2 linked regions of the Anolis sagrei genome follow. The protein of the gene in region 2 purifies or fractionates together with the protein of the main gene of each other region. This does not show direct contact. Links are inferred from orthologs where the notes say so. Each region holds a gene or a part of one and is shown on either strand. Other genes may lie near its edges. The genes, in order: SLC27A1 and PBXIP1.

Evidence for each region.
Region 1: the proteins of PBXIP1 (region 2) and SLC27A1 purify together in Homo sapiens (co-immunoprecipitation; 3 studies listed by BioGRID and IntAct, with this or other methods). This does not show direct contact. The link is inferred for Anolis sagrei from reciprocal best matches to the Homo sapiens genes PBXIP1 and SLC27A1.

What each region holds. Positions count from the first base shown.
Region 1 is NC_090022.1:146,942,606-146,958,815, forward strand, and holds the start of SLC27A1 (long-chain fatty acid transport protein 1), read right to left. Parts: upstream 6,123-16,210; 5' UTR 6,001-6,122; intron 1-6,000. UniProt on the Homo sapiens protein: Mediates the import of long-chain fatty acids (LCFA) into the cell by facilitating their transport at the plasma membrane.
Region 2 is NC_090032.1:266,932-283,387, reverse strand, and holds the start of PBXIP1 (pre-B-cell leukemia transcription factor-interacting protein 1), read right to left. Parts: upstream 11,336-16,456; 5' UTR 11,097-11,335; intron 6,741-11,096; exon of another isoform or gene 6,362-6,740; intron 4,934-6,361; 5' UTR 4,846-4,933; coding exon 4,783-4,845; intron 3,310-4,782; coding exon 3,228-3,309; intron 2,492-3,227; coding exon 2,430-2,491; intron 837-2,429; coding exon 659-836; intron 564-658; coding exon 384-563; intron 1-383. UniProt on the Homo sapiens protein: Regulator of pre-B-cell leukemia transcription factors (BPXs) function. Inhibits the binding of PBX1-HOX complex to DNA and blocks the transcriptional activity of E2A-PBX1.

The sequences.
Region 1 (16,210 bases), on a different chromosome or scaffold from region 2:
CAGGCACCAAGGTGATTAACTAAGAAATTTATCAAACTGGCCATTGTCATGGAGCTAAAAAACCCACAGCAAGAAAATAGGCTATTTGATGTGGGAAAACACAGTGGAAGAAACAACAAACACTGAAGTAACATCAAAGAGCAACAAGCAGTGATAAGCCATGTCTCTGCCTGATGATAACAGAGCATTCGATCTACACAAGTTGGCATCCTTGCTGGAAGAAAAAAATCCCAGGATCTGAGGTCTGGATATTAAAACAAGATCACTTGGAAAGATGAAAATATGTGGGCAAAACAGGCTAATTAAGCACTTCTGGAACGATGACAGGGAGAAACAAATTATAAGCAGGAGGAAGAAAACTAGATGCAGAGGATGGGAACATGGAAGACTTATATGCAGGGAGAAAGCTAATCTAGAAGTAAAAATGCTCTATCTTTGGCACTATCAAACAATTTCAGGACTAGTCCACAGACAATAACAACAGCCACCCTGGGCTCACATCAAGCACGTTATGGCTCTCCAGAAGAAGTCTGGGTGTTATTTCCACCAGTCCTAGTGAGCATAGACAATAATAAAGGAAGACATAAACAAATGGAAGGCCACACATTCTCCAACCCTCTCTATTCCTGCTCTGTGGATCACAAAGGGGGACTACATGGCTTCTAATTGTGGAATGACTCCTGTGGCTGCCTGTGTAAGGTAGACATAGGGCATTAATTGACCACATGCTACTGAGGGGGACAGAGGCAGCAATATGCCGCCCCAACCACTTAGCACCAAAGGTGTGTGGTGTCTTGAGGCATCTACAAAAACTTAGCAAGATTTTAGGGGGAAAAATCTGACTATTGACACTTATTGATGATCTACATGGAAACAAATGATACCGCTGGATATAGCTCTGAATGTACTTCTACCACAAGGCTCTGTTAAGGGATGAAGTGGATATAAATGGTGTTTGTCATTCATTTATCTTGAAAGACATGGCTTAGGAAGAGAGAGAATACTGGAAGCGAACGGCTGGCAACAGAGATTGTGATGTTGGGAAAGACTTGTACTTGGTTCAATTGTCTGTGTTGAAAGATTTGGTTCAATTGTCTGTGTTGAAAGATTTCTGGAAGGAGTTACATCTCATGGGGGACTAGGAAGACCGAATTTAAATTACCAAAACAGTTAAAACATATTTAAATCATACATACAATGTATATGACAAAAGACAGCATCTAAAAACGCTGAACTCTCCTTCATTAGTGGTTTTTAAAACTGGCTGGATAACCATCTGTTATTAGTGAATTTCTTGCATCAGCGAAAGACTGGAGTAGATCACCTTTACAATCTGATTGTTAGATGTGGTGATGCTGATTATTGGATTTCTTAAAACATTTGACAAGCTAATAAAATAATGTAGTAGTTTATCAGACAAAAGAACAACATGGTATTTAGTAAGTCAGTCACCAAGCCGTTTAACATATAAAAGTGTTTCTGTCAGCAAGACATAAGCAACAGAACCAGATCTGGTACTGGTTGCAATTCAGGTGTATTGCATGCAGACTTTTTTAAAAATTAATTTTTATTGGTTTATGGTGCACACAGAAAACAAGACCGACATCAGAGGAAAACAAAACAAAACAAAAAAACAGAAAAGAAAAAAATATATAGAAAAGAGTATGCAAGTTTACAGAATGGTATACAGTCAGCACTCATTAAACGTATAAAAAATCAACTTTGATTGTACAGTTATTATACCTTAACATTTATTTCCCTCTAATCCTACACCCGTTAACTCAACCCCCATGACCTCCAACACCACTCCGTATGGATCACATAACTAACCCACAACTACCCACATGTCTTTTTTCACTAAATCCCCTTTATGGCAATCTTCAAATCTACTTTTGTCTTCTTTTCGAGATATCCAATTGCCAACCTCAATTTTTAAACACATTTTTCATTATTTCCTCCTCTGCTGCTATTTGTCAGTTTGGCCATTTGGATATAATCTACTCATTTATCTCTCCAATCCTTAATAGTTAACTCTTCCCCCCCCCCCCTTCCATGTTTTAGCTATTATTAGTCTCGCAGCGACAAAACAAGACTGACAAATTTCTTCATCTCCTGCGCTAATAGACCTTCTAAATATTCCTAATAAGCACATTTCTGGGTTTTTCTTGATTTTTTTTTTTTGCTAATCAGTTTGTTTGCTTCTTTCGCCACTTTTTTCCAGAATTCTTTAACTATGTTACAGGTCCACCATACGTGGAAAAAAGATCCCTTCACCTTCTTGCATCTCCAGCGAGCCCCTCGTCCTGTTTTCTCTATTTTAGCTAGTAACTGGGGTTATGTAGTCTCTGTAAAACATTTTAAACATATTTTCTCTAATTGATCTGGCCACTGAAAATCTAAACCCCTTTTTCCAAAGATGTTCCCACTCTTCCAAATCGATATTTCTACCTACATCTTTGGCCCATGTGATCATAACAGTTTTTATTTGGTTGTCTACTAAATTGTATTCTAAAATATATTTGTAGAGCCTGGATATTAGGCCTTTGTTTCCCTTCTCGAAGATACTTTCTAACTCCGATTTATTAGAGGCAAATCCGACTTTTGCATCCTTCTTAAATCTGTCATGTAGTTGGACTTCTTGAAGGGAAGGGCAGACTCAGTCTCAGGGAGCACTCAGAAAAGTAACACCTACAACAACAACACTCAGCAAGGAGTTCGGAATTTATGACATGTGGGGAAAGGATGGAGGACCCACATTTGTTTGGCTTAGAGAAAAGAGCTAAATTGGTACATGATATCAGCTTGCAAATATCTAGACAGCAATTAAGATGACACGGAGCTCTTCACCTGGGTCACATGGAAAAGACAAGAATCAAGTCATGACTTTTGAAACATAGTTAGGCAATGATTCTATAAACATTGTGAAATCAACTGCTTCCAATCATTTTTTTAAAGGAAGTGAACATCTGCCAAAAAAGGAAATGTCCTGCAGATGTAGTGGGCAGTTCTTCTCAATGCCACTGAAAAAATTATCATCTAATCCCTTCAGGTCATGCACGAGTACCAACTTGTCCCTTCTGATTCATCAATTAGAGTACTGCTACTTAGAAAACTTGTCACTGATGCAGTTGCATGGTATGCTAAAGTAATACAGTTGATGTGTTGTCGAAGGCTATCATGGCCAGAATCACTAGGTTGCTGTGAGTTTTCTGGGCTGTATGGCAGGCATCCTCAGAGATGGCAAGGTCCGTTGGAAACTAGGCAAATGAGGTTTATATACTGTATGTACTATATATACTTGAGTATAAGCCTAGTTTTTAGCCCTTTTTTTGGCTGAAAAAGCCAAGGGGGATGAGGGTTCTGGCAGGAAGGCGTGGGGTTGAGGAAGGGCTTCTTTTACCTCCATGCCTTCCTGCCACGACCCTCACCTTTCCACACAGCAACCCAGCTCTCCTTCCTCTCCGCACCAGTCTTTCCCACTTTTTTCTATTTGTATACACACAGCATTTCCCTCAAAATGTATAGTTAAAATAAATTATGGTGATAACTGGAATGATACAGGTTAGAAGAATGATTTAATCAGAGTTGTACAGTCTTATGTTAAATTACAGTTTTATGTAAATATTCAAAAACATTTAACCTACTGATGCTTCAATTAATGTAATTCTATTAGTATCTATTTTTATTTTGAAATTTACGAATAGCTGCTTCATTTCCCACCCTCGGCTTATACTCAAGTCAATATGTTTTCCCAGTTTTTTGTGGTAAAATTAGGCGCCTCGTCTTATATTCAGGTTGGCTTATACTCGAGTATATACAGTATTTCTGTAATGTCCAGGGTGGGAGAAAGAATAGTTATTTCAAATCTTGTCGGTTACAAAGTCTGTCAGGGATTACAGCACCATCACACTTTTCAAGGCACAGCTTTTTTAGATCCAGCTAGCAGATGACAAAACAGCATGTTAGCATGCCAAAATAGTATTTCCCTGCTCTTAAGAGGACAAACGACTGTCTCCTGCCAACTAACCTTCAGCAGATCCCTCACTCCACAGCTCTACTCTTCCAACTGTTACACTGTGTTAAAACAGCAAAATAAGATTTCTTTCCAAAAATGAGAGATGCCAACAAACCAGGCTAAACAAAAAACACAAAAAATGGCTTGCTTTTCATACCTTTAACAGCAATCAAAGGTCCAGAAATTTAACATGCCAGCCAGGTCTTTTTACTTCATACAGGTAAGGACTGATATCAGCTGGTCAAGTCCAACTGTGGAGCTGCTTGTAAAAGATACAAGTTACAGTGGTTGCTAACCCTGTTAAGTACCAAACTCCTGCAAAACCACTCAACTAATAAACAGAGAAAAGATGGATGGAAATCGCTGCCAGATAGTTTAGTAGTTTACGTAATGTAGTAATCGTTTATTTTGTAACACGCTCATGCCTGCTATTTTTCTCTTTTCGTTATCAGCCCGGGGTTACTACGTGGGTCCGAGACTGCCAACAAAAACCAGGTGCTGTGGAAATACATTTCAAAGGAAGGACTGGGCAAAAGCACCTTCTCAGTACTCTTTGCAAAGCAAACTCTGTGAAAAGGCATGGATTGAGGAAACTTGAAGGTACCTACTCAGAAGTGTTAGATGTTGATTTATATTTTCTGGTTAGTAAAGATAAAGGTTTCCCCTTGATATTAAGTTTAAGTTTAATTGTGTCTGACCCTGGGGGGTGGTGCTCATCTAAACTGGAGAGCTGGTGTTGTCCATAGATGCCTCCAAGCAGGCCTGTAGCCAGGATTTTGATTTGGGGGGGGGGGGGGAGTTTGATTTTGGGGGGGGGGGGGGCTGAGTCTGAGCGAAAGAGGGTCTACCCTAGCAAACCTTTTGTATTGTTACCCCAATACCCCCATGCATATGGCATATATTGAGCATGATGATCAGATCATGATATGAATAAACATAACAGTTTAAATAATGCACCAGTAAGGCCTTCTCGCGAACCACCATGAGAATTTCGGGGGGGGGGGGGGCTGAAGCCTCCAAGCCCCCCCCCCCCCGGCTACATGCCTGCCTCCAAGGTAATGTGGTCAGCACGATTTCATGGAGCGCAGTTATCTTCCTGCTGAAGTGGTACTTATTGATCTACTCACATTCCTTGTTTCCAAATTGCTAGGTTGGTGGAAGCTGGGCCTAACAGTGGGAGCTAACCCCACTCCCTGAATTCGAACCGCCAACCTTTCAGTCAGCAAGTTCAGCAGCTCAGCAGTTAAACCCGCCGCACCACCAGGGCTTAGTAGCTATTTTTTTCTGTGTGTGCTTGGAGTAGTTTTAGTGTATACAGATATTAACCAAAAAAATTGACGAACAACAGTCATAGAATCCTAGAGTTGGAAGAGACCTTGTGGGATATCCAGAAGCAGGAAAATCGCTTTCAAACCACCCCTGATAGATGACCATCCAGCCTCTGTTTAAAAGCCTCCAAAGAAGGAGTGGTTCTGAAATCCACGTTCCTTCTCCCCTCAGTGACCTGCAGGCTTCACATAGGGAGAGTCTGCCCGCCAAGAATGGGCCAGGCCCACCATGCCATTGAGGACTCTTTGTAGGATATTAATATTACAATATAACGGTATAGTACAATATAGTTATATATAATACTGATATTATATATATATTTATATATCTTGTAAACCGCTGAGTCCCTTTCGGGGTGAGAAGGGCGGCATATAAATGCTGTAAATAAATAAAAATAAAAAAATACATAGGACAAGCCAAACAACAAACCTACACGCGCCTACTTTGATATATACATAGATGAGGAGGAGAGGGGATCCCTCCAAGCGGCGTCACAAAGTTACCCCTCCCTCAGCCCTGTTACCAGGACAACGCTGCCCCTCGCCCCCCACCCTCCACGTTGCCAGAGTAACGGCCACGCCAAAGCTTCCCCCCCCCGTTGCCAAGGGAACGCCGCTTCCCCCTCCCTCCCCCAGGGCGAAACGGTCGTTTCATACCTCGCGCTGGCAACCGCCACTTTCCTCACACGCCTCCTTCACCTTCGCTCGGCTCCTTCTCTACAGAAAACGCTCACGGGGCCAGAGAGGGAGGGAGAGGGGGCGGAGCCTAAAGAGGAAGCGCCGCCTCAAGCCCCAGAGAAGCGTGAGGGGGAGGGGGGAGGAGAGTAGGCGAGGCCAAGGCACCGAGAAGAGCGGAAAGAGTGGGTCGTGGAACGCGCGGAAAGCGTCTCCTGAGCATGCGCGGAGAGGCCTGTGGTTTGCGAGAGCCTGTGGCCCTGACAATAGAACGCGAAACGCTTTTACCTCCCAGCGTCCGAGACCGTCTTAGCCAATCACGAGAGAGCCGGTTCATGACGTCACATAGGGGCATTCTAATAGGAGTAGCGGCGGCCTTTAATTTCATAGGGTTTTCTTAGGAAAGGAATGCTTAGGGATGGTTTGCCAAACTGCTATTTGCTTCCTCTGGAAAGCGGCCTGATATCTCTTCCCCACGACCACTCTTCCAGTATCCTAATCTGGCAGGAACAATTTGAAATAATCCTTTGTCATTGACCTTCAACTGCTTTAATAATGTCCCAGAAGTGGTTGGCTAGCCTGCTCTCCAGATTTGGCTTGTGATCTCCCCTTGTGATTTTTTTCTATGGGATTTTTTTGAAATCCCATGTTTATATGAACCGTCCAAGGACCCTACAAGATTTGAAGACCAACATCCAGGAAGAAATTGCCAACATAACGCCTGCTATGCTGGCAAGAGTCGTGACAAATACCAGAAATCGGTTTACTCAGTGTATGGAGAATGGGGGACGTCACCTACCTAATTTGATCTTCAAAATTACGTAAAACAAAACTTTAAGTATGTGCCTACATTACAAAAAAATATTCTCATTCATAAAATGGGTTTTATTAAGTTTTGAAAAAAGGAAGTTATGCTGCTGCACCCTATACAACTCTCATGAGTCCATAGCATTGGGAAATGAAAATTAAAGGGTTTTTTTCGTGTCAGGAACGACTTGAGAAACTACAAGACCTCACAAGCTCTGAGGATGCTTGCCATAGATGCAGGCGAAACACCAGGAGAGAATGCTCTTAGAACATGGCCATATAGCCCGAAAAACCTACAACAACCCAAACTGCAAGTCACTTCTGGTATGAGAGAATTGGCTGTCTGCAGGGACATTGCCCAGAGGACGCCCGGATGTGTTACCATCCTGTGGGAGGCTTCTCTCATGTCCCCGCATGGGCAGCTGGAGCTGATAGATGGAAGCTCACCCTGCTCCCCAGATTTGAACCGCCGACCTTTCAGTCAGCACAAAGGTTTAGTCCATTGTGTCACTGGGGGTTCAGTTAAAGTAGTGTGGAACTGTATTCTACAGTGTTGATGCACCCCCTGGTATCTTCCTCCTCCTCCCACTTTCCTCTTGTTCTCATGTTGCTGAAAAACAGGACCCCAAAATGAAGTTTAGAATAGCCCCATAGGTGCCAGCAATGGAGACTGCAATGATCTTTTCCCCAGTTTCTGATGACTTTTCTATGAACTTGTCATGAATTGGACAAGCACTATGGACAAGCACTATGTACACACCCCACACCTCTGGAAATGTCTCAAAATTTTAGTTTAGGAAAGGGCCTAATGCAGTGGTTCTCAACCTGCGGGTCCCCAGATGTTTTGGCCTCCAACTCCCAGAAATCCTAACAGCTCATAAACTGTAGGTCAAAACACCATGTTCTAGAAGCATTCTCTCCTGACATTTCACCTGCATCTATGGCAGGCATCCTCAGAGGTTGTGAGGTCAATAGATGCAGGTGAAACATCAGGAGAGAATGCTTCTAGAACATGGCCATATAGCCCGAAAAACCTACAACAACCCAATATAAACCATGTCTCCATACACTGATTTATTCTGTCTGGAACTGTTGACATACCTATTTTGCCAGAAGGTTTTTCATAAAGTGCCATAGCATCAGTTTGCATGTAATTGAGCAAAGCCTAGATATTTAATTGAGACAATGTTTTCCAGTGTGTGGCTATTTCTAAAGGGCTGCCACCAAGAGTACAATGCAGGTTTTTGTGAAGAGGCAACTGTTTTCACAAGAGATGGACAATTCTTACTTGAGAACAAAACTAATGGTTAGAAATGTATCAAAGGGAGTGATTACTAAACCTTGAAAAGATATGATGTTCTTCTTTTGTTCTTTTTGAGAATGAATCGGATGTTCTGTGACCTTTCCTCTATATCCTAAATAGCAGAACTCCTGAATTCCTGTTTCCATAATCCCAACAGTATTACTAAAGAGCTCACAAGGCTTGTTGGGTAGAGTTTTTCCTATTCATAGTGAAGTTGAAGGTACTAAGAAAAGAGGGAAACTACGGGCTCTTCCAGACGTTTGGAGAAGATCTGGGCTACTGACCTGGGACCTGCCAGCACTGCCTGAACTGGCCGCCTTGTCAGAAACAGATCTAGTAGTAATATAAGCAGATATAGTCCTTCATATTCTTCCCTCAGAACAAAGAGGGCCGAAAGCAACTTTCTCAATCCTAGGCTTTTTCTGCAATAATCTCCAGGCCCACATTCACTGTTCTACTAGGTTTCAAATTAAGTTTGGCTCACAAAAATGTCCCACTGAAGAGGGAAACTACGAGCCCTTCCAGACAGACTCTATATCCCAGAATCTGATCTGGTTTTTTATTTTAAACTGGATATGAGTCCACACTGCCAGATAATTTGGAATAAACAGAAAACCTGGGATCAGATCCTGGGATATAGGGCCTGTCTGGAAGGGCCCTAGAATACAGACGGATTGATTCAACTAAGGAAGTTCAAAGCCAATTAATAGTGGCTTTGGTAAGTGAACAAGGGAACAAGAAGCTGTATACACACTTGCACCTTTCTTCAAATTAAAAAACAACAACATCAAGACAAAGAAGATGCTCTAAACTTGCATTTGATACTGATCATCATCAGGAAGTTTTTACGTTATGATCCATTTTCCGACTCCCAAGAGATGAAAGGAATGCTCTTTTTCAGGTCTTTGAGTCTACCAGTCAGTGTTTTGGCCTTCAGATTTTGTTGCTGCTGCTGCTGTTATTTTATTAAATAATTCAAGTTATTTGAGTTTTAATCCATATTGGGGTAGAAGCGAGGTTTTTTTTGTTTTTTGGCCAAATCTGCCCACTTCCCACATTGTCCCACACATTTTCAAAACCTCCAAAGCATATTTTTTAGGAACTGTGAAGAAAGAAGAGACGAATCAAACATTTGGAATTTGGAAGTAAATTATTATAGGTATCTAGTTAACCACCCCAGATTAGAACTAAATCCAAAATATACAATTACTGGTATATATTTATAGGGTCAACAAAAAAGCATATCTGGTGAAGGTGCTAAAAATCATACAGGAGAAGGAGAAATGATGCAAGAAAGTCACGAGCCTACATTTTGTCTTAAGATGTTTTACTGTTGTCCATTCAGATTATTTCGCTAGCAGGGTATCAGTGTAGTCAAAAGCCACATTTGGCCATGTGAGGGCTGGGAAAAAAAGAGCAGTAAAATACAGATAGTCAAAATTGGTAGCGTAGCTATCATTTTAATTATTTTTACTGCTACAGGTGGCTTTACTAAGTATCAAGAGAAAAATATGGGCCCCATGCTATTTCCTCTACAATGCCAATTGGACAGGGGAGTATGTTAATCCCATTAGCCCGTGGGTTTTGGAGTCCAGATGAATTTTGAAGCACATTTAGTTAATGTCAAGAAATAGGAAAGATACTTTCAAAAATTGTAGCAATGACAATAACTAATTCTTTTCAGGCTTGGAACTATAGCTAAAATTAAATAGTAGGTAAAAGTAGCTTTACAAGTTATGCAAAAATCATATATGCTGATTATATCAGCTGGAGCATCCTGTGAACAAAATTCACACAATCTTTTTTTATCTTCCTACTAACCTTGTGACATAATTTAAGATGAAATAGTTGTTTGCATAAAGCTTCCTCAAACTCCCAATGAACTTCAAGGATTAACATCAGATTCAGATAAAACAAATCATAATGGCCTCAAGGTAGACCATTGTTTCAGAAGAGGCATGTAAACACAATATTTAGTGATTCCTTGCCAGAAAACATTTTGCTTTATAGGAGTGATTTGCCCAAAGGGTATTGACCTTAAGATCACAAGACACAGATAACACCTGGATGGTTGACATGTTGAGTGAAGCCAGCTGGTATTTTCCAGTTGCTGTCATTCCTCTCATTCCCTCCCCATGTCGATCAAGCCTTCCTTTCCATACCAAATTGGAGAGGAGGAATATATGTGAAGTGAAACATAGGCAGGGAGGGTTAGGACCCTTCCAGACAGGCCCTATATCCCAGGATCTGATCCCAAGTTTTTCAGCTTTAAACTGGATTATATGAGTCCGCACTGCCAGATAATCTGGGTTAAACAGAAAAACTGGGATCAGATCCTGGGATATAGGGCCTGTCTGGAAGGGCCCTTTAACTCCTTCCCCTTGCGGCCATTGGTCTGTTCTATAACTTCTATATATATAACAGTTTATTATTTATGCAGGTGTTTTGAAGACACCTCAAGAGGTACATTGTGAATTTAAAAGGCTACTTTAAGTGTATTTAAGTGTTTTGTTTGGTTTTTCTAATTTTATCTAACTGGAATATTGGGCTGGACCGGATTCCTAATTATACTATTTAAAGGGCCACAACTCGTAAACTGTTTGCTTCGTGTTTTACTCAGTGAATCATGGAGGGAAGGAAGGCAGTAAACCTTTGCTAGTAAACATGGTCAGCAAAAATAATTGTCTTCCTGCTCTCAAGTAAATAACAGAGGAAGCCTGCCTGCTCTGGCTTATGGCAAACAGCGAAGAGACAGGGACAGACGGTGTGGGTGCAACTCTCTTTAAAGACTTGTCCTAGGAAGTAGTAGTGTATCAAATGTGAGGTTTTGTCTTATGCATATATAAAAGTCATAGTATGTATTTTGTCAAAGGTAAAAGATCCTATTTTGGATCAGGAGGCAATACACACATAAGTGACTATAATGACAGAAAGGAATTTATTAAAGAACCAAGCATGATAACAAAAGCATAGTAAAGAAATATGAGCCATTCAAGTTTTTCCCCAGTTTGTTGTTGGGAACCCCTGGATCAGCAAACAGCATGCAGCACTTGTCTGGACTCTTCCTCTTCGAGATTAAACATTGGCTGAGATGTACAGATTTTTATATCTTACTAGCTTATGTACCTGGTGTTGCTGGGTTAGGGATTTGGTAAGGATAAACATTTGAAAAAGGCATTGTTTGTTTTTGTATTTTATGAATGGTTCTGTTAGAAAAGGATTGTAAAATTCAATTCCCACCATCTTTTGACATGCCCCCCTAAAACCTATCAGTGTTTAAAGTTTCTCATGTTGGGTCTGTGTGCCAAGTTTGGTCCAGATCCATCCTTGTTTGGGTTCACAGTGCTCTCTGGAGGTAGGTGAACTACAACTCCAAAACTCAAGGTCAATGCCCACCAAACCCTTCCAGTATTTTCTGTTGGTCATAGGAGTTCCAGTATTTTCACAATTGTGTGTGGATGTGGATGGACTATAACTCCCGCCATCCTCTGTTATTGCTTCTAAATCTCACCAGTATTTTAAGTTGGTCATGATGGGTGTGTGCCAAGTTTGGTCCAGATCTGTCACTGGTGGGGTTCACAGTGATATCTGGATTTGGATGGACCACAACTCCCATTGTCCAAGGGCCATCCTCCCGCCCTCCCAAAGCCCATGTCCTTAAAGCTGATCTGACATGGCAAATATCTCCCCATAATTCTATAAGATAACAGAAGGGGAGTAAAGGTCAACCATCTGAGCTAAAGTATCCTACCACATTCCAAGGCTGTACCGTTCTGGTCAATATTTAACCATGAAAGAAAACATCCTGTTTTCTTAAAGGAGACCTACACTCCTTTATGGCTTTTAGGGGCTATAGAAAGAGACAGGAGCAATGAGCAGCTAATCTCGTCACACTAGTTCACTGCAGAATTCTGGAGTTTGTAGTTTAGGGAGGAGTCTTTAACAGCTTTACTAAACTACAAACTCCAGAATTCTGCAGGAGGCAGAAACCGGATTTAAAGTGGATTCATTATCTAGTGTGATGAAGTGGTGAGTACACACCTGGCTTGCCTCTTTGAGATAACAATATTTTTCTGTGGGTTTCCACTGCAGTTTGTATACATGTATGCTTGCTTGTATTATAATCTTTAGAAGTCATCAAATGGGAAAAACAAGCCCTGAAGAACCCTAAAGAGATACTGAAATCCTTTAAAAGGCACCAAATGGGCAAAACAGGCCCCGAACAACCCTAAAGAAGCTCTGACCAACCTTAGAAAGGCACCAAATGGGCAAAACGAGCCCTGGACAACCCTAAAGAGGCCCCGAATAACATTTAAAAGTCACCAAATGGGCAAAACAGGACTTGACTAACCCTTAAGAGGCCCTGAACAACCTTAGAAAGGCACCAAATGGGCAAAAAGGTCCTGACTAACCTCCCCCCTCCCCCGTTATGTCAGCTCCACTGGCTGCCGGTCCATTTCCGAGCCCAATTCAAAATGCTGGTTTTGACCTATAAAGCTCTATACGGTTCTGGCCAGCTTACTTGTCCGAATGCATCCACCCCTACGTCCCGCCTCGTAATCTAAGATCATCTGGGGAGGCCCTGCTCTCGCTCCCGTCAACAGCACAGATGTGTCTGGCAGGGATGAGAGACAGGGCCTTCTCGGCGGTGGCTCCCTGTCTATGGAACACACTCCCGATTGAGGTAAGATCGGCTCCCTCCCTCCTGGCTTTCCGAAAGAAATTAAAATCATGGTTTTGGGACCAGGCTTTGGGCAATAGATGCAAGCAGCACTTTGACTGGAACGGCGATACGGCTGATGAGATTGTTTTACGGTTTTAATGATTGCTTATGTATTGTTTTTAACTATGACATGTTCAATTGTGGTTTTATTATTGTAATTGCTATGTAGTGGTATCGTAACGGTACCCATTGTAAGCCGTCCTGAGTCCCCCTTCGGGGGTTGAGAAGTGACGGGATAGAAATACGGTAAATAAATAAATAATGAAGAGGCCTTGAACAACCTTAGAAAGGCACCAGATGGGCAAAACAGGCCCCGAACAACCCTAAAGACGAGCTAAATAACCTTAGAAAGGCACCAAATGAGCAAAACGGGTCCTGAACAACTTTTAAAATGGAAAAAAACGGGCCCTGAATAACCATTAAAAGTCACCAAATAGACCAATTGGGCCTTGAACCTCCTTGTGGTTCAATAGATCTAAACCAAACTTGACATGCATACTCTTCATTATCCAACTTAAGATATTCTATCATGCTTTTCAGAGGTGGACCCTTAAAACAAATTAAAAGGAATGTGTATCTCCAGCATTCAGATACAATCACAAGAGGGCAGTATATAAAGGATTTGCTATTGGTCTTCAATGCAATCCCCGACTGGGGCCAAACTGCTTAGCTTCAAAGAAAAGGCTTTCAGGGGGTCAGGCCACATGAACAAGTAGAATCAGAAAACGGTCAGGAAATGTATAGGCAGACAAGGTGGCATCCTCATGAGCGGGCCCAGCACGACTCTTATCATGAGGCAATAGCACATCCCTGAAGTTCACAGCAGGGACATCCAGACCAAAAAAAGGAAATAAGTAATTTAATGAAGATTTATATTTTAAAGCGTGTGTGTCTACTCAAGGCAGAAATTCAAATTTTATAATGATGCTTGCTCAATGCAACAATTTCAGATTTTATTTAAACAAAATTGTCTACATCAGGTTGTTGTTTACACCTTTCTGTTTGGACTAGAGTGCAACTCAATGCCGAGAGAGTTTGGCTCGCTCATAGTAACAATTACTAATTAGCTTTTGTACTTGGTGTTGTCTAGTTAAGCATTTTCTAATGCTATTTATTAGACATACTCATTGTTAGCTTTGTGATATTATCAATTGTCCCATTAGAAAATGCGGACCTGGGCAATGCTGGGTGTACAAGCTGGTTTTACAGGTATTGTTAAGCCTCCGTATATGCTATGGATGATGCGACAAAATGTAAAGATCTAAGTTACCAATGTATTATGACAAGGTTAGTCAAGTCTTTAAAGGGACAATAAAAGTGAGGTTCATGGGCCACATGCACCCCAAAAGCTATTTTTTGTGAAGGGCCCTTATTGGGATGGCCAGGCGAAACAATTGAATTTAGTCCTCTGCGTTTCAGCCAGAATTCACAGGAATCAATATTCTTGTTCAGTTGAACCGCTACCCAGTGTCTTGCAGACTGGCACTTACTATGGACCACGATTTTCAGAAGCAGTCCTGTAGATGTTTTAGTTTTCAACATACAGTTGTCTTGCCAGCTTGGATAGGAACTCATCCAAAAATATGGGGAGCCAAAGGTTCCTCATGTATGGCTTGGACCCCAAGACCTGAGCATCATCTTACCCTAAATGAGCCTGCCAACACCCTCCAGTAGTCCCAACTTGCAGGAACAACCCTAATGACTCCATTTTGAGATGCATTTCAGATGCTGCTGAACTGCTGACCTGAAGGTTGGCAGTTCAAATCCACAAGACGGAGTGAGCTCCCAGCTGTCTGTTCCAGCTCCTTGCAGTTTGGAAACATGCAAATGTGAATAGATAAATAGATACCGCTTTGGCGGGAAAAGGCAAAGAGATGTTCCAAGCAATCTTGCCAGCCACACAACCAGGAGGTCACAATGCAGGCTGAAAATGGAGAAAAGCACCTCCCCACGGCCCCCAGAAGCCGGAAATGAAAGGAGATGCCTCTGCCTTTGTTTGTGTTTGTGTGTTTCATTGTATATGATTGTAAAGGCATTGAATGTTTGCCTGTGTATGTAAATGCTGTAATCTGCTCTGAGCCCCCTAGGGGAGGAGGGCAGAATATAAATAATGTTTATTATTATTATTATTATTATTATTATTATTATTATTATTATTATGCCTCTGTCCCTCTAATACTGTACTTTCTCCCTCTCTCTTTTCTTCTTCCCTTTCCTTCCTTTTTGTTCCCTTCTTTTTTTCCCCCTTCCTTCCCTTGTCCCTTTTCTTTATTTCCTTTCTCTTTCCTTCATCTTTCTTTCTCTCCCTTCATATTCTTTCCTTTTGCCTTTCTGTTCCTTCCTTCCTTATGTCTTCCTTCTTTTCTTCCTCCATTAATTTCCTTCATTTCTCTCTCTCTCTCTTTTCTTTTATCCCTTCCATTAATACAGGACCTAACGACAGCCAAGCCTCTTCACTCTCTTTCTTTCCTCGTCACATCACAGAGGGCCCTTTCTCCACCCAACAGCCTATCCTTCACAAATCCAAAACAAATCCACTTTGATCCTTTTCTTTCTGTCTGCTCTAGGCCTGAAAAGGATGGTTCTTTTAGCTCAAACCCAGCAGTTATTTTAAATTTAAATAGAGGGTATGGGTTGTTGTAGGTTTTTCGGGCTATATGGCCATGTTTTAGAGAAGCATTCTCTCCTGAAATTTTGCCTGCGTCTATGGCAAGCATCCTCAGAGATTGTGAGGTTGTGAGGTCTGCCAAGTTTGGCCCAGATCCATGAAGCCAGGTAGAAGCCTTTGTGGTACAAATGGACAAACATACATACATTCATATATTTGGCTGTTAATATATACGAATTAGGAGAGAGTATCTGAGGTTTCTATGAAAGATGTTTTCTTTTTGATACCCAGATTGGTCCCTTTTGAGAGGTTTTCCGCTGCAGTGAGAACACCTCATTATTTGGAAGCAACGCATTGGCCTTCCGGGATGTGCTTTTATTCCCCTGGTGATGGTATGCTTTCTTGACCCCTCCTAGTCGTATTTATAGTTTTAGCTGCTTGGTTTTATATTTTATGTGCTGTTTCATCTTTTATGGCCACTTTTATGTTGTTATTGTAGCTTTATTGATGGGTGAGCTGTCTTAGGCAGTTTAGGAAAAAGCAGGGTGGGTTTTTTTTATCAATAGATTTATTTATTTGGCAAGTGTGCTACAGGTTGCTCTTGTCCATATAAGAATGATGGTGCAGAAAGAATAAAGAATTACTCTTTTTGTTTCATAAGGATCATTGCCGGGCCAGCAAGCTGTCAGCAAAATAAATAGATTCCTGGGAAGCAAAGCATTGGTCATATTATCTCCCAAGGGCTACTTTA
Region 2 (16,456 bases):
ATGATACACATAGATGCATAGATAGATACATAGATAGCTAAATGCATAGCTAGATGCATAGATAGATGCATAGACAGGTAGATAAATTATTATTATTACTATTATTACTATTATTATTATTATTTCTATTTATTATTATTACTATTATTATTATTATTACAGATAAATGCATAGATAGATAGATGTATAGGTTGACAGACAGATGCATAAATAGAAACACAAATAGATAGGTTCGTAGGCAGATGGATAGACAGAGAATCTGACCCTTGGGAGGGGCCCCAAAGAAGGCCCCCCAGTCCCACCGTATTCATGCCAGGCTGGAGGACACCACGCAAGCCCTCCCGAGAGATGTCCTCCCTCCTTCCCTTGCAGAAAGCACTCACCCAGGGCGACCAGGACGCCGAGTCCCAGCAGAGCCAGGAATCCGCACAGCCAGATGGCCTGCCCGCCCTCCTCTCGGGCGCCCGGGGCCCGGCCCCCTCCTGCGGCAGGAACAGCCACCTCGGGCCCCTCGCGGCCCTTCCGCCTTCGCAGGCCTTCCACGTCTTCCGCCACGGGAGGACCTGCAAAGTGGAAGCGGGAAATGGGGTGGCCTCAAAGAGGGGGGGCTTCCAACCCAGGCGGGGGGAAGAGGAAGAGGAAGGGGGGGGGACCTCACCTGCTCTGTGGAAGAGGGGGGCTCCTGGCGGGGCGGCGGCAGAGCCCTCCTCAGCATGATGGGTGAGGGAGTCCTTGGCTGGCGGAGGGGCCGGGACCGGGCTGGGCTCTGAGGCTGAGGCTGCGGGGGTCTCTTCCGAAGGGACGTCCAGGGCCACCCCCGGCCCACCTCCAAGGGGCTGCCCCAAAACAAGGACAGAGCGGGATTTCAATACTCGCGTGCGTGCAATAATAATAATACTAATAACAGGGCTAGGCATCAATCAATTATTATTATTATTATTATTATTATTATTATTATTATTTCGTGTCAGGAGCAACTTGAGAAACTGCAAGTCGCTTCTGGTGTGAGAGAACTGGCCATCTACAAGGACATTGCCTGGATGTTTTCTGATGTTTTACCATCCTTGTGGGAGGCTCCTCTCATGTCCACGAATGGGGAGCTGGAGCTGACAGAGGGAGCTCACCCGTGCTCTCCCCAGATTTGAACCTCCGACCTGTTGGCCACAAGTCCTGTTGGCACAAGGGTTGAACCCAATGCACCTCTTCCTTTCCCTTCTTTTTCTCTTTCCATCCTTCCTTCCCTCTTTCTTTCCCCCTTCCTTTCCTCCTTCCCTTCCTTTCTCTCCTCTCTCTTCTTTCTATCTTTCCTTCCTTCCCCCTTTCTCTTCTTCCTTTCTCTTCTTTTTCTCTTTCCTTTCTTCCCTTTTTCTTTCCCCCTCCCTTCCTCCTTTCATTCCTTTCTCTTCTCTTTCATTCCCTCCTTTTTCTCTTTCCTTCCTTCCCTTTTTCTTTCCCCTTCCCTTCCTCCTTTCCTTCCTCTTCTCTTCCTTTCCCTCCTTTTTCTCTATCCTTCCTTCCCTTTTTCTTTCCCTTTCCCTTCCTCCTTTCATTCCTGTCTCTTCTCTTCCTTTCCCTTCTTTTTCTCTATCCTTCCTTCCCTTTTTCTTTCCCCCTTCCCTTCCTCCTTTCCTTTCTCCTCTTCCTTTCCCTTCTTTTCTCTTTCCTTCCTTCCCTCCTTTCCCCCCTCCCTTCCTTTCATTCCTTTCTCTTCCTTTCCTTTCTTTTTCTCTTTCCTTCCCTCTTTCTCTCCCTTTCCGTTCCTCCTTCCCTTCCTTTCTCTTCTTTCTGTCCCTTCTTTTTCTTTCCTTCCTTCCCTCTTTCTTTCCCCTTCCCTTACTCTTTCCCTTCTTCTCTCTTCTTTCTTTCCCTCCTTTTTCTCTTTCCTTCCTTCCCTTTTTCTTTCCCCCTCCCATCCTCCTTTCCTTCCTTCCTTCCTTTTCTTTCTTTCCCTCCTTCCCTTTTTCTTTCCACCTCCCTTCCTTTCTCTTCTTTCTTTCCCTCCTTTTTCTCTTTCCTTCCTTCCCTTTTTCTTTCCCACTCCCATCCTCCTTTCCTTCCTTTCTCCTCTTCCTTTCCCTTCTTTTTCTCTTTCCTTCCTTCCCTCTTTCTTCCCCCCTTCCTTTCCTCCTTTCCTTCCTTTCTCTTCTTCCTTTCCCTTCTTTTTCTCTTTCCTTCTCTCCCTCCTTTCCCCCTCCCTCCCTTCCTTTCCTTCCTTTCTCTTCTCTTCCTTTCCTTTTCTCTTTCCTTCCTTCCTTCCCTCCTTTTTTCCCCCTCCTTCCTTCCTATTCACCCACAGAGATTTCCGTATAGTTCAACAAGCCACCAACCCCCATGTAGCTAAAGTGGTGTGAAACTGGCATAAATGTGTGGTGCAGACACACCCTGAACCCCTCAAAGGTTAAGAGAGCCTTAAGAGTTCGATACTCGACCTTTGTTTTGGGCTCTTCTGGCTCGGAAAGGACCTCGGGGACCTCTTTTTCGTCAACGGGGGCTGTTGAAAGAAGGAAAATGGGGAATAATAATAATAATAATAATAATAATAATAATAATAATGTCAGTAAAATAAATAATATAATAAATAAATAATAAAATAAAAAATTGTGTCAGTAAAATAATAATAATATTTGTGTCAGTAAAATAATAATAATAATAATAATAATAATAATATGCATGGCTTAATCTGTTGTGAGTCTTGGCCAAGAAAGAAAAATGGGGAATAATAATAATAATAATAATATTGTCAGTAAAATAAATAATATAATAAATAATACAATAAAAAATTGTGTCAGTAAAATAATAATAATATAAAATAAATAATGTGCCAATAAAATAGTAATAATATTTGTATCAGTAAAATAATAATAATAATAATAACAACAATAACAATAATAATAATAATATGATGCATGGCTTAACCTGTTGTGAGTATAATAAATAATAAAATAAATAATGTGCCAATAAAATAGTAATAATATTTGTATCAGTAAAATAATAATAATAATAATAATAATAATAACAATAATAATAATATGATGCATGGCTTAACCTGTTGTGAGTATAATAAATAATAAAATAAATAATGTGCCAGTAAAATAATAATAATAATAATAATAATAATAATAATGTGCATGGCTTAATCTGTTGCAAGTCTTGGCCAAGAAAGAAAAATGGGGAATAATAATAATAATAATAATAGTAATGATGAGGATTGGCCCGCCTCCACTTACCTTGCTGCTTCTGGGTGGGTGAAGGGTCCTCTGTCGGGACTTCTGCCGTTTCTTCGGAGCGAAGCTCTTCCACGGGAAGGGTCTGCAAGGAGAGAGCGGTCAAAGGAGAGAGAGCAGGGGTGAGTGGGCCTGCCGGGCGGGGACGATGGGATCTGCAGTCCCACCCCAGCAGAGGGAGGAAAATACCCAACAAGGCCTAAGCCTGGGTTGATGCCAGTTTTCCGTGCCTGGTCTGTTTGAAGCAAGGGTGGATGTTGCAATTGGCAAGCTTGAATAGCACTGAGTAGCTTTGAAGCTGCAAAGTCAATCAGTGAGGGTCCCTGCATGGAAGCCGTGCAAAGTCACAGTGAGGGTCCCTGCATGGGAGTCGTGCAAAGTCAGTCAGTGAGGGTCCCTGCATGGAGGTCGTGCGAAGTCAATTGGTGAGGGTCCCTGCATGGAGGTCGTGCAAAGTCAATTGGTGAGGGTCCCTGCGTGGAGGTCGTGCAAAGTCAATAAGTGAGGGTCTCTGTGTGGAGGTCGTGCAAAGTCAATCGGTGAGGGGCTCTGCGTGGAAGTCGTGCAAAGTCAATCAGTGGGGGTCTCCGCCTGGAAGTCGTGCAAAGTCAATCAGCGAGGGTCTCTGCGTGGAAGTCGTGCAAAGTCAATCAGTGAGGGTCTCTGCGTGGAAGTCGTGCAAAGTCAGTCAGCGAGGGTCTCTGCGTGGAAGTCATGCAAAGTCAATCAGTGAGGGTCCCTGCCAGGCTACCTCTAGGTAGATACTCTCACACTGATTCACTTTGCAGCACCAAGGCTATTCAAAAATGCTCATTGCAACATGCAAACTTGCTTTCAACAGACAAGGGTTCTCTCTCTCACCCCGGGCATCATTCCAGAGAGGGTGCCTCCAGGCAACAACGGTCAAGCCGCCTCTATGCAGAGATCCTCACTGATTGACTTTGAAGTTGCAAGGCTACTCAATGCCAATCAAGCTGGCCAACTGCAACATTCACACTTGCTTTAAACGGGCCAGGGTTCTCCTTCCCACCCTGGACATCATTCCACAGAGGGTGCCTCCAGGCAACAACAGCCAGGCCACCTCCACGCAGAGATCCTCACTGATTGACTTTGCAGCTGCAAGGCTACTCAATGCTATTCAAGCTTGCTCATTGCAACAGACATGGGTTCTTCCTCCCACCCTGTACATCACTCCACAGGTATATATCCATGCAGAGACCCTCACTGATTGACCTTGCAAAATGCATGGCCTCTCCGTGCTATTCAAGCTTGCTCATTGCAACATCCATACTTGCTTCAAAGAGACAAGGGCGCTTTCTCCCACCCTGGACATCATTCCACAGGTGTGTGTGTGTGTGTGTGTGTATAGAGAGGGCTACACTCCACTTGTTTCACTGCCAAAAGAACCTCTGAACCTCTGAAGATGCCATTAGGGAAAGATGCAGGCAAAACATCAGGAGAGAATGCTGCTAGAACAGGACCTGAGAGCATGGAAAAGTCACAGCAATTCAACTGTTGTTGTTGTTGTTGTTATAGGAGTGGGAGGGCCATGTCTCACCTCTGATCCGGCCATCACCCAGCTGTTGTTGTCGGACTCCCGGGAGTCTGAGCGGTCAGCCATGGCGGCGCATGCCCAGCCGAGCCCGGCCAAAGAGGGGCCCCGACCGGGGTGAAGTGGCCCTCTGTGAGGTCACCGGGGAAGGAAGGGACTGGAAAGGAGAAACAAAAGGGAAAAGAAGGAATGGAAGGAAGAAAGAAGAGAAGAAAGAAGGAAGGAAGGAAGGAGGAGAAGAAAAAGGAACAAAGAAGAACGGAAAGGAAGGAAGGGAAGAAAGAAAAAACAGAAGAGAGAAAGAAAGAAGAGAGAAAGAAGGAGGAAGGAAGGAAGGAAGGAGGAAGGGAAAGGGAAGTGGGAAAGGCATGAAGGGAGAAAAGGGAAAGAAAGGAAGAGAAAAGAAGGGAAGAAAGCAAGAAAGGAAGGGAAAGAAGAAAGGAAAGAGGAGTGGAAAGAAGAAACAAAAAGGAAAGGAAGGGAAGAAAGAAAGAAAGAAAGAAAGAAAGAAAGAGAGAAGAGAAGAGGGAAAGAAGGAAGGAAGGAAGGGAAAGGAAAGAGGGAAAGGCATGAAGGGAGAAAAGGGAAAGAAAGGAAGAGAAAAGAAGGGAAGAAAGCAAGAAAGGAAGGGAAAGAAGAAAGGAAAGAGGAGTGGAAAGAAGAAACAAAAAGGAAAGGAAGGAAGGAAGGGAAGAAAGAAAGAAAGAAAGAAAGAAAGAAGAGAAGAGGGAAAGAAGGAAGGAAGGAAGGAAGGCAGGAGGAACAAAGAAGAAAGGAAAGAAAGGAAGGGAAAGAAGAGAGAAGGAAGGAAAGAGGAGTAGAAAGAAGAAACAAAAGGGAAAAGAAGGAATTAGGAAGAAAGAAAGAAAGAAAGAAAGAAAGATAGAAGAGCAGAGAGAAAGAAGGAAGGAAAGAAGGAGAGGAGGAAAAAAGGAGCAAAGAAGAAAGGAAAGAAAGGAAGGAGGAAGGAGGAGGGAGGGAGGGAAAGGAAAGTGGGAAAGGCATGGAGGGAGAAAAGGGAAAGAAAGGAAGAGAAAGGAAGGAAGGAGGAAGAGAATAGAATTAAACCCAGAACTATCTCAAATGAAGAATCAACACAATTGAAACCCATTAAAAATACATAAAACACCCCCCTCCCTCCAGAGAAGAAGGTGGTCTTCACACCTTTCATAGAATCAAAGAGTTGGAAGAGACCTGGGGGGGCCATCCTCCAGTCCAACCCCATTCTGCCAAGAAGCAGGAATATTGCATTCAAAGCATCCCTGACAGATGGTCATCCAGCCTCTGTTTAAAAGCCTTCAAAGAAGGAGCCTCCAGGGCAGAGAGTTCCACTGCTGAACAGCTCTCACAGTCAGGAAGAGTGGGTTGCCAAGAGTGCCTCTGAGCATGTCCCGAGTGCTTTGTGTTCGAAAGAGAGAGAAGAGGAGCCCCTTGTTGCTTTGAGGCACAAAGTCTCCTGAGCTTGGGCTTTGCTGGCCGACATGGGAAGGATTTGCAAAACAAATCCATGCAAAGAAGAGACGGGGAAGAAGGGCACGATGGAACACAACACAACACACACACACACACACAACCCTTGTTGTACTTTTTCTTTTGCTCCCTCTAAATAGAACGGTTGCAAGAACGGATCTGCAAGTGAGAGGGAAGGACGATCCCCGGAGGCAGCCACAATCAAGAGTTTTGTGCCTGACGTTCCTCTCTCAAAACAGACTCAAATTAGGATGGATGTCTTGAACGCATTGACTTGATGTTCCTCTCAATATCAAGAGAGAAGGAAGGGGAAAGGGAACCAGGGAGGAGAAAAGGGAGGGCAAAGGGTCAGGAAAAGAGAGAGGAGGAGGAGGGAGGAAGAGAAGAAAGGGAAAAAGAAAGAGAAAGAATGAGAAAGAGAGAGAAAAGAGAAAAACAAGGAGAGAAAGAAAGAGAAAGGGAGAAAAAGGGAGAGAAGAGAGTAAGAAAGAAAGAAAAAGAGAGAAAAAAGAAAGAAAAAAGAATGAGGAGAGAAAGAAAAAGGAGAAATAGAGAGAGAAGGGAGTGAGAAAGAAAAGAAAGAAAAAGAACAAGGAGAAAAAGAAAGAGAAAGGGAGAAATAGAGAGAGAAGAGAGTGAGAAAGAAAGAGAGAGGAGAGAAAGAATGAGAGAGGGTGAGAGAAAGAGAAAGAAAGCATGAAAGGGGGGAGAAACAGAAAGAAAAACAAGGAGGAGAGAAAGAAAAAAGGAGAAATAGAGAGAGAAGAGACTGAAAAAGAATGAGAAAGAGAGGAGAGAAAGAATGAGAGAGGGTGAAAGAAAGAGAAAGGGAAAGACAAAGCGTGAAAGAGAGTGAGAAAAAGAAAGAAAAACAAAGACAAGAAAGAGAAAGAACAAGAGAAAGTGAAAGAAAAAAGCAAAAGAGAAAGGAAGAGGAAGAGAAAACAAAAAGACAGAGAGAGGAAAAAGAAAGAAAAAATAGAGAGAGAAAGAGAAAGAAGGAGACAGAATGAGGGAAAGAGATAGAAAAAGGAGGAGAGAAAAAGAGGGGGAAAGAAAAAAGGAAAGAGAAAGAAAAATAGAAAAAGAAATAGAGAGAAAAAAGGAAAAGAGGGAGAGAAAAAAAGAGAAAGGAAGAGAGAGAAAGAGAAAGAAAGAAAGAAAGAAAGAGGAAGAGAAAACAGAGAGAAAGGAAGACAGAGCAATAGGGAAAGAAAGAGAAAAGAGAGAGAGAGGAAAAAGAAAGAAAAATAGAGAAAGAGAAAGAAGGAGAGGGAAAGAAAGAGAGAAAGAAAGAACGAAAGAGAAAGAAAAATAGAAAAGGAAATAGAGAGAAAAAAGGAAAAGAGGGAGAGAAAAAAAGAGAAAGGAAGAGAGAAAGAGAAAGAGAAAGAAAGAAAGAAAGAAAGAAAGAGGAAGAGAGAGAGAAAACAGAGAGAAAGGAAGACAGAGCAAAAGGGAAAGAAAGAGAAAAGAGAGAGAGAGGAAAAAGAAAGAAAAATAGAGAAAGAGAAAGAAGGAGAGGGAAAGAAAGAGGGAAAGAAAGAAAGAAAGAAAGAAAGAAAGAAAGAAGGAGAAAGAAAAATAGAAAAGGAAATAGAAAAAAGGAAAAGAGGGAGAGAAAAAAAGAGAAAGGAAGAGAGAGAGAGAAAGAGAAAGAAAGAAAGAGGAAGAGAGAGAGAAAACAGAGAGAAAGGAAGACAGAGCAATAGGGAAAGAAAGAGAAAAGAGAGAGAGAGGAAAAAGAAAGAAAAATAGTGAAAGAGAAAGAAGGAGAGGGAAAGAAAGAAAGAAAGAAAGAAAGAAGGAGAAAGAACAATAGAAAAAGAAATAGAGAGAAAAAAGAAAAAGTCAAAGAGGAAGAGAGAAAAAGAGGAAGAAATTTCCTTTATGTTCCTCTCAATTAATTAATTTTACGATCCGACGGAGGGGCGCAAGGTGGCGAAACAAAGCCGCAGAGAGAAGGGTGGCCAAAGAGAGAGAGAGAAAGAAAGAAAGAAAGAAAGAAAGGAGGAGAGAGTGCCAAGGACGGGCTCCTTGGGGGGAAGGCGGCTGTGCCCGGTCTCTTCTGGCCGGAGAAAGAGAGAGAGGGACCGGGAATGCGGGGAATCCCAACCATGCCCTCTCCTTCCCAGAGCGCTGCATGGCGGTGTGTGTGTGTGCAAAAAGAAGGGCCAGAATAGCAACAGAAGGAGGTGCCTTGGCCCTGGGGATAGTTGAGGGCCCCCCCTTGGAACTGGCTGCCCTCAAGCCAAACCCCAAAGAGCCCCTTCTATATTGGAGTTGGAGTTGCTGGGATTTATAGTTCACCTGCAATCAAAGAACATTTTGAACCCCACCAATAATAACATTGGGCCAAACTTCCCACATGGAATCCCCATGACCATCAGAAAATACTGTGTTTTCTGATGGTCTTTGGTGACCCCTCTGACACCCCCTCGTGACCCCCCCAGGGGTCCCAACCCCCAGGTTGAGAAACACTGCCATAGACGTGCAACACATAGAGGCCATTCAACATTCCCGCTTTTCCGGCTTCAGGAGGGTGTGCTGAGGTCCGGCCACAGGGGGAGCTGTGACACCCAGTTCTGGATGGAGGACTTCCTCATTCTTATGCACGCTGCTGGAAGGTTTTATGGCGCTGTAAATTAATTAAGTTAGCCTCCCCGCGTAAAGCAATACCTAAATTTCCTAGTGAAGAGAGAGGGGGCCAGGAAGACAGCTCCACCTCGTCTCCTTGTCTATTTCCTTCCTTCCCCAGATTCCTCCGTGGGGCGAGCAGAAAGAGGGACAGCTGCAAGGGCTCAAAAGGGAAGGCGCCCGGCCTTATTTATAGCTGCGCTTAATGCCTTGCAGCAGGTGGGACGCTCCCAAACCTGGGCAAGCAAGCAAGCGAGCAAGCAAGCAAGAGCATGGCCAGGGTTCCCTCCCTCCGCTCTCTCCTTCCTTCCTTCCTTCCCCTTCGGAGGCTCCCAGCCTCTCTCTCTCTCTCTCTCTCTCTCTCTCTCTCTCTCTTCTGGGCAAAAACTTCCTTTTTAGGGCAAGTCACTTTGTTTGATTTCCAGGCACTCGTTGGACTCAAGGCGACCGACCGGGACACAGGAACAGACCCAAAGAAAGGACAACTGGAACCAAGTTCCCTTCCTCTTTGGAGAGAGTCCTTCTCCCTCTTCCATTGAAAGGAGTTGTTGTTCACCCCCAGAAGTGTCGCTTTGTGTGTCTGCCACAAACTAGGTGGCAATGGGTTGAGACTCCATGATGAGACCTTCATTGAGACGCTATAGCACATGACATTGATAACAACCCAGGAACAATAATCACGTCACATAGTATTATTATTATTATTATTATTATTATTATTATTATTACTACTACTACTACTCTTATATTTATTAATATAATATTTAGTATATAATGATATAATTGTTGAGACTTGACGATGGGACATTCATTGAAAAACTCGAGCACATGACGTTGATAACAACCCAGGAACAATAATCACGTCACATAGTATTATTATTATTATTATTATATTTATCAATATAATATTTAGTATATTTATTTATATTTATTTATTTATCGTGTCATTATATACTATATTTAGTATATAATGATATAATTGTTGAGACTCGATCATTGAGAAGCTCGAGTACATGACAACAATCATCACGTCACATAGTATTATTATTATTATTATTATTACTACTATTTCTATTAATATAATATTTAGTATATAATGATATAATTGTTGAGACTCAATGATGGGACATTCATTGAAAAGCTATAGCACATGACATTGATAACAACCCAGGAACAATAATCACAACACATAGTATTATTATTATTATTATTATTATTATTATTATTATTATATTTATTAATATAATATTTAGTATATAATGATATAATTGTATTGCTATTGCAATAATATTACATCATAAGATAATTAATATAACTTAATAATATCATATAATAATAGAAATAATACAATAACATATATAATAGTTTTTAAATAAATACTAAATAAATAAACATATATTATTCTATTTATTAATATAATATTTAGTATATAATGATATAATTGTATTGCAATAATATTACATCATAAAATAATTAATATAACAATAATATCATATAATAATAGATATAATACAATAATAACATATATAATAATAAATGTAATTATAATATAAAACGAAAATAATATAATATATCATAATAATAAATATAATTACATACCGTAACGTAATGTGCTACAGCAGGATGTCCCAGAAGAACAATGTTTTGGCAATTTAATCAACTTTCCCTACGTTTTGATGGCAGACCCAATTAGGAAATGATGTTGATAACACAACAATAATATAATATAAATAATATAATATAATAATAAAACAATAAATAATATAATATAATATAAAACAACAATAATATAATACATAATAATAATAAATGTAATAATAAATATCATGACATACTGTAACGTAATGTGCTATTATAGCAGGATGTCCCAGAAGAACAATATTTTGGCAATTTAATCAACTTTCCCTATGTGTTGATGACAGACCCAATTAGGAAATGACGTTGATAGCCCAGGGACACAAATTGTGTTGCAAAGTGTTATGGACACTTTTGGGAAAGAGGATGCTGTTGCCGTGGCAACCCTGCACGCGCTGGACCAAATCCAAGGGAGGAAGGAAAGCACGCCCAATCCTACAGTCATTATTATTACAATAATAATAATAATAATAATAATAATAATAATACTAATAATAATAATAATAATAATGCTGCTAGTTCTGCCTCTCAATGGCCAACCCCTGGCCCTCCCTGTGGGGCCCCCAAGGGATCCTTACCTGGAAGGCAGGTGGGCAAGCTCTTTCCTTCCTTTCTTTCCCTTCTTCCTTCCTTCCTTTCGGCTTCTCAACTTTCCTCTCTTGAAACTTCTGTTGCAGCTGCTTCCCCTGCAAGGTGGGCGGGACCGAGGGCAGCCAGGGAACCAATCAGGAGGCGTGAGAGGGAGAGCCCAGCCAATGAGTGCAAAGCTGGCTGGAAAATAAGTCTGCAAGAAGTCTGCTCCACTTGCAGGTTGGCATTAAAGGAGACATAATAATAATAATAATAATAATAATAATAATAATAATAATAATAATAATAATAATAATATAGAGGAAACTCCTGTGGGGATTGGGAGATGCCAGGTCAATCATCATCACCATCATCATCCTCATCAGACTCTCTGTTAATCCATGACCTCTCGTGGGTTTAGTAGATGTTGCATTAACAATAAATAATAATAATAATAAATATATTAATAATACTACAATAATAATACAATACAAAAATAATACAATTACCCCATGGGGATTGTTAGATGTGTATCAATAATAATAATAATAATAATAATAATAATATATTAATAATACAGTATTATTAATTACTGTATTTAATAATACAGTAATTAATAATACAATTAACCCATGGCCCCCATGAAGATTGGTAGATGTGTATAAATGATAATAATAAATATATTAATAATAATACAGTAGATCCCCAGTTAACCCATGGTACCTATGGGGATTGGGATCAATAATAATAATAATTATTAATAAATATATAAATATTAATACAGCAGACCCCCAATTAACCCACGGTACTAATGGGGATTGGTGGATGTGTACCAATAACAAACATCATAATAATAATAATAATAAATATATTAATAATAATACCCCAGACCCCCAATTAACCCACAGTACCCATGGGGATTGGTAGTTGGTATCAATAATAATAGTAATAATAATAATAATAATAATAATAATAATAATATATAAATAATAATACAGTAGACCCCCCAGTTAACCCATGGTACCCATGGGAACTGGTAGATATGTACCAATAATATATATATATATATTAATAATAATATAATAGACCCCCAGTTAACTCATACTACACATGGGGATTGGTAGTTGTGTACCAATAATAATAGTAAATATGTTAATAATAATATAATAGACCCCCAGTTAACCCATGGTACCCATGGGGATTGGTAGATGTATACCAATAATAATATTAATAATAATAATAAAATATATTAATAACAATACAGTAGACCCCCAATTAACCCATGCCCCCCCCATGGGAATTGGTAGATGTGTACCAATAATAAAATATATATATATATTAATAATAATACAGTAGACCTCCCAATTAACCCATGGTACCCATGGGGATTGGTAGATGTGTACCAATAATAAATATATTATTATTAATAATAATAAATATTTTAATAATAACACAGCAGACCCCCAATTAACCCACGGTACCCATGGTAATTGGTGGATGTGTATCAATAATAAATATAAATATAATAATATATGAATAATAATACTGTAGACCCCCCAATTAATCCATGGTACCTATGGGGATTGGTAGATGTATACCAATAATAATAATAATAATAATAATATATAAAAATATAAATAAATAATATAGTCGACTCCCAATTAACCCATGGCCGCCCCCATGGGGATTGGTAGATGTGTATCAATAATAATATCAACAACAATAACAGGGATCGATAAATGCTGTGTGAGTGCAGTTTGTGGTTGCTTGAGAGTCCCTCTCTCTTAAAGGCAGACCTCGTGCTGTAACCCAGACCATAAACTCTGCATCGACTGGGGATTCACCTTGCAGTCCAGTCGTGAAAAGCAAACCAAGACCATCAACGCCAAACCCAACAGCCTGGCTGTAGCATGACAACCAGCTTTTCAAAAATGCAAAGTGTGGTTTCTTTGGTTTTGTTTCCACCTGTTGCTTGGATTCCGGTTAACTAAGAGTCTGCTGTAGTCATGTTTTGTTTCACATAGAAAAAAATATATTTCTATGGGTTGCCTTTGGAGCCTCCGCTTTGGGGACTCCCCCAAGCCCAAGGGCCGCCGTCCTTTGCAAAGACCGGTCTTCTTTCTCTTCGGCTGGAGAAGGAATGCAGCCAAGAAGATCCCAACAGAGGAGGGAAGGAGAGAGCGGTGCTGGCCCCAAACTGTCACCACATTTCAAGGAAGGAGGCGGCAAAGACAAAGGGGGAGAGACGGCCCCACAAAAGGTCTCTCCGCTGGCCCTGCTCCAGCTGGAAGGCCGACCCACACTTGGGAGCAAGGAGCAAACACGGGGCCAAGGCTCTTCCTCTGGAACATCGGGGTTAGGAATCCTTGGAAGCGTCTACACGGTGATTCCAATGCACTTTGGTCCCCTTCTGCCCCGTTGCCCCCCTCACCTGCAATGCTTCTGCACACCCCAAACTGAACCCCAAACTGAGCAAGACACAGGGACGGGCAAGTGGCATCAAAGGCTGGACAAAATAAGAACCATAATAATAACCACAATAATAATAATCCGGCATATAGATCTCCTTTGCTGTGACATACTGTGCTTCTGTGTCAGAAAAATAATAATAATAATGATATTTAATCGTCGAAGGCTTTCATGGCTAGAATCACTGGGTTGCTGTAGGTTTTTCAGGCTATATGACCACGTTCTAGAAGCATTCTCTTCTGACGTTTCACCTGCATCTATGGCAAGCATCCTCAGAGGTTGTGAGGTCTCTCACAACCTCTGGGGATGCTTGCCACAGATGCAGGCGAAACGTCAGGAGAGAATGCTTCTAGAACACTCTCACTACCTCTGGGGATGCTTGCCATAGATGCAGGCGAAAGGTCAGGAGAGAATGCTTCTAGAACACTCTCACAACCTCTGTGGATGCTTGCCAGAGATGCAGGCGAAATGTCAGGAGAGAATGCTTCTAGAACAGTCTCACAAACCTCTTGCCATAGATGCAGGCGAAATGTCAGGAGAGAATGCTTCTAGGACACTCTCACAACCTCTGAGGACGCTTGCCATAGATGCAGGCGAAACGTCAGGGGAGAATGCTTCTAGAACACTCTCACAACTCTTCCCATAGATGCAGGCGAAATGTCAGGAGAGAATGCTTCTAGAACATGGCCATATAGCCCGGAAAACAGACAACAACCCATTAATAATTATGTCTCCCAAAGGAGACTCACTTAACATAAAAGCTGACAAAATGCCAAAAGTTAACATAAAACTTTTGTCTGGGGTTGCAAAATTGTCCATCTACACTGTCGAATTAATGCACTTTGATACCACTTTGATGCTAAAGGATGGTGAGAGTTCTAGTTCAGTGGCATTCGGCAGACCTTGTCAAATCATGAATCCGTAGCACTGAGCCATGGCCGTGCTATGCATTAATGCTAATAATAATAATAATATAATTGTATATTTTATATTAAATGTAATATTACTAATAATATTACAGGATAATGTTATAGTACAATGTAATATATAATATTAATATTGTGCTAAGATAATAATAATAATAATATATTGCATTTACTTTTTACTTGTCAGCCGCTCTGAGTCCCCTTCGGGGTGAGAAAGGCGCCATATCAAGGTCGTCAATAATAAATAAATACGTAAATAAATCAATTTATATTTGCAGGTGGCTGATTTTGGAGGCAGCGGGTTCCGGGCTTGACCCCAAACATCCCCAATCATTACTAAATATGTAAACATTTTCAAGAGGAAAGGAATACCCCAATTACTTTACAAAACGTCACTTTTTTAATGTTTTCACATAAAAACAAGGAGGAAAAAAGGGGGGAATTACAAACCCAAGGATGGCGCCCCGCTCGCTCCCCCCACCCCCCAATCCCCCCTCCCTCTCTTCCCAAAAACCCCAAACACATGCGCAACCCAAGGAAAGTCAACAAAAAAAAAGGGATTTGCTTAAAAAACATTATTTAAAAAATAATGATCATGATCATAATAATAATCCGTGTCCCGAGAGTCTTGTTTCCGTCTCTCCCGCTCTCGGGGGCAGAGCTTGGAAGCAGAAAGCGTTCCCCAAGAGGTATCTCGTGTCCCCCAAAAAAGGTCCGGCTTCGGAATCCGTTCCAGGCCAAATTTAGGGGAAAATTAGGAAATTTCCCATCTCCTTTCCCCCAAAGTCTGTAGAGTGTCCTTATTGCCATTGATTTGGAAACGGAAGCAGAAAAGCGTCCACAAGCGTATAGAGCAAATGGACGCAGCTGTCGTGCGTCACTCTGGAAAGCAAGAGGTGTGGACTAGTGCTGATAACAGCACTTCCTGTGTTCACAATGTTACGATTGGACGGTGCGCTGAGTGTTAAGTAGCTTCTAATGTATATCGCTGTAAAATAATGTAGTTTATAGCCTAAGGTGGCTGTCATTGATCACGTTCCTGCCTTACTGACAGCTGGGTTATGGGCCCAGAACCACGTTTCACCGCTGCATCTAATCTACGATGATTGTCACTGACAGAGGTCTCTTCCCAGAAAGGCTTTATTGTTTGAGAAGGGAAGCCCCATCAGGCTCCTCTCTGAGGGTCCTTCCACACAGCCGTATCAACCAGAACATCCAAGCAGATCGTCCACAAAAGGGCCAGAGGATTAGCACGGGTGGTAAATCATCAGCAATTATAAGATCTATCAACCAAAAGGTTGCAAGTTCGAAGCCCTGGGTTGGCGTGAGCTGCCAACTGTCAGCCTAGCTCATTGTTTACCTAAGCAATTTGAAAACAGCTTTAGAGAAATTAGGTACCACTATATAGAGGGGGAGGTGTTTTACGACACCATAAAGAAGGAAGATCAGAAAATGTTGGGCCACCAAAAGGAAGGAGGAAGCCAACAGCACCCCCTGGACTCGAGCTCCAACTTCCATGGCACCTCCTTCTGTTCTGTCTGTCTGTGTATTGAATGTTTGCCGTGTATGTGTACTGTGATCCGCCCTGAGTCCCCTTCGGGGTGAGAAGGGCGGAATATAAATAAAGTATTATTATTATTATTATTATTATTATTATTATTATTATCTGCTTTGAACTGGATTATCTGAGTCTACACTGCCATATAATAATCCAGTTCGATGAAACATACAGCCATGTGGAAGGGGCCTTAGAGACACAGACCCAAGTCAGCAAACTTTCCTTGTTTTCCATTAACTCTTTTCTCTAGCATTAAAAAGTCCGGCTCTCTGACCTGTCGGAACACCTTACCTGTGGACTTTGTTTACTACCGTAAGCTCCCCTATCCCACTGCCTATTCTGCTACAGAGACCAAATACCCCTACATGTGTGTCTGCGTGAGAGGTCTGGCTGCTTCAGGTGGGAGAAGGAACAC